Linked DNA regions of Kluyveromyces lactis. The protein of the gene in region 1 purifies or fractionates together with the protein of each later gene. This does not show direct contact. Links are inferred from orthologs where the notes say so. Each region holds a gene or a part of one and is shown in the gene's direction. Other genes may lie near its edges.

Region 1 (4,438 bases):
CGGAGCAGATGTAGTATACGAATCCGGTACGAAATACCTCAATGGACACCACGATATCATGGCTGGTGTAATAATAGCCAAGAAGGACGTGGCTCCATCCGTATATTTCGTCATTAACAGTACCGGTGCCGGTCTATCTCCGATGGATTCATGGCTCTTGATCCGTGGTCTCAAGACCTTATCTGTTCGTCTTTACAAACAACAGATAAACGCAATGGTGCTCTCGCACTGGCTACAAGATATATGCGGATTCAAGCCTACAGATAATAACCAGCAACTAAAGACAAGGTTTGTTGGGTTGGAATCTCACCCTCAGTTCGAATTGCATAAAAGTTTCAACAATGGTCCCGGTGCAGTGCTATCCATTGAGACTGGCGACCTAGCACTAAGCGAAGCCATTGTAACTTCTAAAAGACTAAATATATGGGCCGTCACGGTATCGTTTGGATGTGTCAACTCGTTGATCTCCATGCCATGCAAGATGTCACATGCCTCCATCGATCCAGAACTACGGAAACAAAGAGCGTTCCCTGAAGACTTGATCAGACTCTGTTGTGGGATAGAAGACGTCAAAGATTTACAATATGACTTACTTGCCGCATTCGAGGAAGCAGGCTTGATCGAATTGCAACAGAGAGGTAACGATACATATTTATTGAACAAGAAGAACGGACACATTGCAAGAAACAATATCGGAGAAACATACCAAGAAAACTACAACGTTTACGACCAATTTTTCGGTCAACGTCTCGTATCAAAGACATCTCATCTACACACTGCAAAGTTGTAGAACGGATAACAACCAAATCTACTCTATAATATTCAATACGTAAATCTTCTAACTGATCCATTTCATTTCATCTCATCTCAAACTCATCTCCATTGCCAACCAATAAATAAGGTAGAAAAGAAAAGGAATCAGCGATCACGTGACTTAGTCTTCCTTCTCTGTTACCCGCCCTTTGTCTCTCCTTAGAAAATGAAAGACCCGTAATCTCAAAGGGGGAAAAAGTGATGATTTACCCAGATGACTGCGTAGCCACAGCGACCCTTTGGTAGTAAGCAGCAGCGAGAAAGCTCGGAAAAGTAATACGGAATTTTCATCGGATTATTCAATTTTTGGAAATCAATTTTCACAGAGAGAACAGAACACTGGATTCGATAAAAACAAAAAAATATAATTTCCTTCTTTTTAGAAAGTCACTTCTCCTTGACTCCCATAATTTATCTAGTTCTTTAATCATCCTGTAAAGATCTTGTGATAGCGTAAGGAATTTCAATAACACAACCATTAGCAGGTTTCTGGAGCACTGGGGAGAACTTGTTGACATTCGGTTATACAGTTGTCTTTTTTTTATTTTTTGGTCAAAAATTTTTTTACGGAAGGAGGCCTTTTTTTATTACTACTGTTTCTACTAGTTTTGTTCTAATTCATTATATTTTAGGAGGACGAAAAGACGGTATTTGCTTCATTCTTTTCACACTATATTGTATTCTATTTGGTTTTTCAAAGATTGTGTTTTGAATCGTGAAGAGAAGAGTGTAATTCCATTGTCTGTCTGAGTTATAAAGTATAAGATAACATCCAGGGGTTTTTTTTTTTCTTTTGTCGTTTGAATTTTACTAGATGAGCAGCGTTCATTCTCAGACCAGTGAGGTCGATGTGCCAGCTGCGTGTACTGGAAAACTGAAAAATCAAGCAGAAGTTGGAAATGGGTCTAGAAATGGGTCTGAGACGTCAATAGCATCGATGAAATCGGCGAAGTCGACTATCACTTTTGAGAAGCAGAAAGTCGTTCCTAGGGCCAGAACCATGTCTGTACAGAGTGTTTTGAGTTCGTTCTCACTCCGGAGTATGTTGAACACTAGAGAGCATGGTGGGCCTCAATCGCAGAACTGTGATGAAGAGGAATGTACCAATACGATGCACAATCATAATACCAGTAATAATAATAATAATAGTAATAATAACAGCAGCAGTATTGCAACGACGTTTATCAATCCCACTCAACAGATACAGTCGCCAGCTATGGCTTCTACGATGGTCAAGAAACGCAACGGGGTTGCGGGCAAGAACAAGCAAACTTTCCTGTCGGATTTACCAATGACTGAGTCACGTTCAAGAATTGGCCAACAGTTACCTTTTAACGATGATAAACGGAAATCTGCTAGGGATTTATGTAAACAGAGATCGTCTTCGAATACTAGTTCCAATTCGACCGCGAATTCGAACTCGAATTCGAATTCTAACCTGAATACGGCAAATCCAGACTCTAAGACGAGAAAAGGGTCATCTCGTGGTTCCGAAGATGCTGCCTCAGATACTACTACCAACAACACTAATAGTAACTCTGAAAATGAATCCAGTGGCGACGCATCTCCAATAGATTCGTCTCATGACTCCGAGTCTGAAGAAGATGATATTTCAAAGCAAAACAAGTTGACAACAGATGCGTTGAGGAAACTTTCGTTGCTGCAGCAAAGTAAGGGTGCTGTATGTAAATCAGTACAGACAACGCCGTTGACCTCGAGTGAAAATTTGGTGGATCCAAAAGAACCTCTGACTCAACTTAAGTTTGGTGGAAAAAACGTTATTTTGGATACAACTGCTACCATTCGTAAGAACTCTGTAGCAATGGAGGCATCAGGGGATCAAAACGAAGCTCGTAAGCAATCTTTGGAAATTATTTCGCAACCAACTGGTGTAACTTTACATGGAACGTCTCATAATTTCAACGAAGCTAAGGGCATTTGTTCCAATAGTACAGCCTCATCTAACTCGAAGAGACTCTTACAGCAGATTAACGAACCGAAGAAACCGATGTATGTTCCTGCAGTGTTGAGAGACATTTCTGAGACGAACATAAAGATAGAAGATTTGAAGTCACATTCTCCTACACCATCTGATGTAACACAAACAACTTTACAAGCTGTGCTGTCTAAACATTCGAACACTTCCAATTCAAATTACGCCAGAAGTATTCATTCTACCACATCATCCATTGTGAGCACTTATAGAAACAAAATTCAATCCTGGCTGTGTAATGAAAGGGATCTGCAATTACAATTGATTCAACCCACCAAAGAGCACTGGATTCCAGATTCCAAACGTCATTCTTGTAAATACTGTCACAAAATTTTCACGTTCTGGGAAAGAAAACATCACTGCAGGCATTGCGGTGATATCTTTTGCCAGCAACATGTCAGACACTGGCTATACTTAAACCCTAACGCCAAGTTTATCATTGGTTGTGGAGGGTTAGGCGTGCTATCTAAAATATGTGACAGTTGCTTAGATGAATATGACACTCTGGTTAAGGCTGGACCCGCCAAAGATCAGGCAGAATTGCAACAGCAGCAGCAGCAACCACCTTCTACTTCTACTTCCTCAACTTCTTCATCACATTCTGGTTCGATTCGTGAAAATGAAAATGAAAATAGTGGAAACCATTCTAACACACTACTCAATTTGCCAAAACCCGCAACAGGAAGAAATATAGACGAAGCATTAAATGGTACTGAGGGTAGTGTAAACCAACGGCAGCACTTGGAAAATATTGTAGGAAGTGTTCCTGCTGATTGGTCTTGGAGCAGTTTCTAATTTACGAATGTTGCATCAAATCTTTTGGTTTTCATCACCTCGTTATCCTTATTACTACACTTCCTGATCCATTTTCGCCTATGCTTTTCCCATTTTATTACGTTTATCCAGTTTATTCCCTAACGGAAGATAGAGCCTAAAACCCATTTTTTTCCATTGCAGACACAATATAAGGGGGATTTCTCGTCACCCTGGTTATTTATTGTTTTCGGTATTTTCAGATTTTCCAAATTTTTCTCTTTTCTATTATTATTCGTTATTATTATTGCCATTATCACTGTCACTATCTGTAACATCGCTCGTTTGACTCCTTATATTTTCCATGTTCCGTTTGCCTTTTTTGTTGTCTCTTTTTTTCATTTCATTTATTTCGCTCAGATCATAAACTATATTATATCGTGTCCCGTTCCAGTGTGGAAAATCTATCCCTACCATTATATTATACCATCCTTAACGTTAATCAAACGAAGGAACTGAGTAAAGCGTCTAAAACCATATGGATCCTTTTTTGTTTTCTCTAAATTTCATCACCATGTTACCATTTACAAAACCATTCTTTTTCTCTCCCAAACATAATAAGAATAAGAATGATAAGAGTAATAATAATAGTAGTATTAATTATTAATTTATTTAAATGTTCTAGTTGACCTAGTTCAATATATATATATATATATATTCGTACATATATACTCGAATAAGAAGTAATATCTCACAACTCTTATACTAAAAGTCACAGCGTCTGCATAATTCATGTGTGGTCAACGTCACTCCTTCCATACCTGATTAAACACAAGGGGGTAGTTGACAAACGAGACAAAATGTAAGTTTGGATGAGAA
Region 2 (4,473 bases), on another chromosome or scaffold:
TGTGATAATCTCAACCACGAGAAAGAATTAAATGAAACTAGAATAACCCGAGACTCTAGCGATCAGAACGGATCTTCGTACGGGTCTTCTTCGTCATAATCATCATCCTTTTCAAACTCATACACAATTGCACCACCACTGTTGAAAGATTGAGCTTCAAGATATGGCAATTCCACTTGGTCTTTTGCCAGCTTCTGTTTCTCCGAAGTGTTCAAGTTGAATGTTGTTAAACCCTCAAACATTTCTGGACTTTCGTCCGTTACTGGTTCTTGTTTCTCTATCACATATTCATAATCATGTGTTTTCGAATTGATTAAGAACTTATTCTTGATAGCCCTACCGGACTTTCGCTTGTTCGTTAGAGTGATATAATATGTGGGATTGTTCAAGTTCTTGGGTATCACAAATCTACTTAAATCTGCATCCAAATCGTCCTCGTCTATGGAAGTCTTCGGAGTAACTTCTATAACCGTATTAGCAATAAATTGCAAGAGTTGGATCGCAGTTGGATAGTTCTGGAGTTCTGCTGGACGCCAGGCTGGTATCGACTGATGATATGTAGCCAATATTGTCACAAATGGCGATGCAATGGTAGATATGAATTGTGTCAAGCTTTCAGAACCGATATAATTGAATGTATCAAAGATCACTAAATGCATCTTAGGAGCTTGTTCCTGTGGCTGCGGTAGGTATGGTTGTAATGCTGCAACTAGTTGCTGGGTGGTTTTCCCCGACGCATCTATGAATTGGCGTGCATATTTCGGTCTATTTGGAGTCTCAAATGATACGAAAACGATCGGCATTTCGTCTGGTATGTTATCTAGGAATTCCTCAACCACAAATCGGCTGCTTTGTGCCATCGTATCGGTACATAGTATTAGCGAAGATTGTTCCTTCAGTGAGAACGTCCTCTTCAATAGAACTTTGGGATTATTATTAGTAGAAGCCATCTCAGAGAATAAAGAGCACGCAGTATATTCGTGATAGATCAGATACCCTGAAAGAATGCTGTAACAGTCGAAATAGATGAAAACAGGCTACTCATAAGTACTAGTTCCCCGCATGAACCTTGATCTTATCTCATCTCATCGCCTGTCAAAGTGAATATTTCACCAAGCATTTGGTATGTGAAATTGCATATTTATAACGTAGATCAAAATAAAAACACATAAAAGTATCCAATAACGGTCCCATTTAGTGCACTTGAAAGCGCAAACCAGTAAAAGTTAGATAAACTGTGGTTATTAAATATCTGGGTTACAATCGAGGGGGTATTGAAGTGGTTGATATAACTTTATTGGATATCTTCCCAACGTTACCCTGATATAAAATATTCGGGTAACAATATACTCAAAGTGTTTGCGTAAAAATACTGTAAGCTCATATACAGATACTGGTCAGTAAGTGTGGAATGATTGGAAAGATAAGGTTTTTGAAGAGCATTTAGTGGGTTTGAAGTCAATTTAGCGAGTCTTCATTGACTAGCAGTTAGGTAATTACTATTTGTACGATTTTCTGCGTTTAAATTTTGTCAGAATCGACCGGTACTGCCACTTTTATCAGAACCAGTTGTGAATAGAACCAATCCTGAAGCAATGGTTGTTTACGGCCCACAGCCTTTGACACGGCTTAATACTGAGACTAGACATGGGTTTGAAGAGCAGTATTCAAGTGAGAAACTCTTGGAGGCGCATGCTAGCAATTTTATATTTTATTACGATGATAAGAGGCATCGAACCAATGGGAATCCAGTTCCTGAGGAAGTGAAGCAAGAGGATAAGGATGGATATTACCAGCCAATTCCTGATTGGAAAATAGTTAAGGACAGGCAGAAGACAGTTGCAGCAGCATTATTACTATGTTTGAATTTGGGAGTGGATCCTCCTGATGTGACTAAGACTCAGCCATGTGCAAGACTTGAATCATGGGTTGATCCCCTTGCATTTCAGGATTCTAAGAAAGCTATTGAACAAATAGGAAAGAACTTACAGAGTCAATACGAGACGCTATCACTACGTACTCGTTATAAACAGAGCTTAGATCCCTGTGTGGAAGATGTGAAACGCTTCTGTAATTCATTGAGAAGGGCTTCGAAAGACGAAAGAATTCTGTTCCATTATAACGGTCATGGTGTACCACAACCAACACCATCTGGAGAAATCTGGGTTTTCAACCGTGGATATACTCAGTATATCCCGGTTTCATTATATGATTTACAAACTTGGCTAGGAGCCCCTTGTATATATGTCTGGGATTGCAATAGTGCTGGTAACATTGTATCCAACTTTAAAAAGTTTGTTCAAAAGAGATTGAGAGACGATAGAGAAGGCAATCATGATATGGCATCACCTTCACCTACAGAAGCATACACTGAATGTGTGCAATTAGCGTCATGTGCAAACAACGAATTATTGCCCATGAACCCTGAATTACCCGCAGATTTTTTCACCTGTTGTCTAACGAATCCAATAGAAATATCTGTTAAGGTGTTTCTAATGCAATCTCCTTTGAAAGACACCAAATATTCCGTGTTCTTCCAAGATAACGATCCTAGAAGAAAAGAGACGGGTGTGAATGAAATGCCTAACATTACGATACCGGGGAAATTGTCTGAGCGTAGGACTCCCCTTGGTGAATTGAATTGGATATTTACTGCTATTACAGATACCATTGCATGGACATCATTACCAAGAGCACTATTTAAGAAGCTATTCAGACATGACCTCATGGTCGCGGCATTATTTCGTAACTTTTTACTCGCCAAAAGAATAATGCCTTGGTACAATTGTCATCCAGTATCAGACCCAGAGTTACCAGACTCAATTGCTGATCATCCAATGTGGAGATCGTGGGATCTAGCAATCGACGAAGTATTGACCAAACTTCTGGAAAGTGCTCATGCTAATGCAAAGAATTCAAACTTCCCTGAATCACAGTTTATAAGCCAACCAAACGAAGGCAATGAAACCAATGACGGGCTGCAATCGAAAAATACTATTGGAAACCTGAGCTCCATGTCATTGGTAAACTTTAGTTCAACAGCACATACCTCCAGCGGTAATTCAGCCTCGCACCCGACTACCTCTCAACAACAACAGCAACAATTTACGAAATTTTTTGAGCAAAATTTAACCGCATTTGATTTATGGGTGAAATATGGGGCTAATTCAAGACATCCACCTGAGCAGCTCCCCATAGTACTACAGGTTCTCTTATCACAAGTCCATCGTGTTAGGACTTTGGTACTGCTATCTAGATTTCTTGATCTTGGACCATGGGCTGTATACCTATCACTTTCAATTGGGATATTCCCTTATGTTTCCAAACTGCTACAAAGTCCTGCCCATGAGTTGAAACCAATTCTAGTGTTCATTTGGGCTAGAATTTTTTCTATTGACTATAAAAATACCCAAACAGAACTTATAAAGGAGCGTGGATACCAATACTTTGTAAAGATGCTTGTACCTGAGTTTGGTGTCCCAAGAGGACATAGTGTCAGTAGTGCTGGAAGTCCCTTGACTATGAATGTACCTGCAAGTTCTTCAACACAGAGGTACCAGATGTATCAACAGCAGCAGCAGCAGCAAGCATATAATAACGCGACGTTATTATCTAACAATAATACTACAGATGAACAAAAGGCAATGGCAGCATTTGTCCTATCGTGCTTTGTTCGCGATTTCCCCCTTGGTCAAAAACACTGTTTCAGCACTGAATTAGTAAACAAGTTATGCTTCTTTATCGAAAATTCTGAAGTTCCGTTATTAAGACAGTGGTGTATCATTTTACTTGGTCAGTTATACATTCACAATCCATTGCATAAGACATTATGCCTCGAAAATGAAAATATGAATACAATCATAGAGTCTTTAAAAGATCCAATTCCAGAGATCAGATGTGCTGCGTTATTAGCAATCAAGTACTTCCTTTCTGAAGAAGACGATGTTAACATTATCTTGAAACTCCAACAAGAATTTCAGCAACAATTACAACAATTCCAAGCGCAGCTGCAGCTTTTGCAATCTCAACAAAACCAGCAGCAGCAGCAGCAACAGGGAAATCAACAGAATAGTACGCATCACATACAGCAACAATACTATCAAATTCAGCAACAATCCCAACAAGTCCAAACATCAATGAGTCAATTGCAAAGTATTAATTTACGCAACCTCAAACAATTTGAGATTAAGACCATTATCACAACCCTTTCGCTAGTCAACGATGGTAGTCCAATGGTACGGAAGGAATTGATCATCTTTTTATCTCAAGTTGTAGAAAGGTATATCGAATTTTTCACTGTAATTGCTTTCACTGAAATCAGCACAGAAATAGTTGCGCTAGAAACGAATGGCCATGAAGACGACTCAAGAAATCCTACTTCAGTTGGTCATGGTTCCATATTCAATACCGTGTGGAAAGCGTTATTAATTTCTTCTGAAGACCCATTTGTCGAAAATAGAGAACTTGCAGGAG

Evidence for each region. The genes of interacting proteins can lie anywhere in the genome.
Region 2: the proteins of PIB2 (region 1) and KOG1 purify together in Saccharomyces cerevisiae (affinity purification with western blotting; 5 studies listed by BioGRID, with this or other methods). This does not show direct contact. The link is inferred for Kluyveromyces lactis from reciprocal best matches to the Saccharomyces cerevisiae genes PIB2 and KOG1.

Annotation. Positions count from the first base shown.
Region 1 is NC_006039.1:1,484,158-1,488,595, reverse strand, and holds PIB2 (Pib2p), read left to right. Parts: upstream 1-1,627; coding exon 1,628-3,601; downstream 3,602-4,438. Other genes in the region: cystathionine beta-lyase STR3, read left to right, coding at 1-790. UniProt on the Saccharomyces cerevisiae protein: Functions as an intracellular glutamine sensor that directly activates the TORC1 signaling pathway, to promote cell growth when glutamine is available. May play a role in repressing NPR1 activity independently of TORC1 signaling.
Region 2 is NC_006037.1:828,907-833,379, reverse strand, and holds the start of KOG1 (ubiquitin-binding TORC1 subunit KOG1), read left to right. Parts: upstream 1-1,595; coding exon 1,596-4,473. Other genes in the region: Elongator subunit IKI1, read right to left, coding at 63-950. UniProt on the Saccharomyces cerevisiae protein: Component of TORC1, which regulates multiple cellular processes to control cell growth in response to environmental signals. Nutrient limitation and environmental stress signals cause inactivation of TORC1.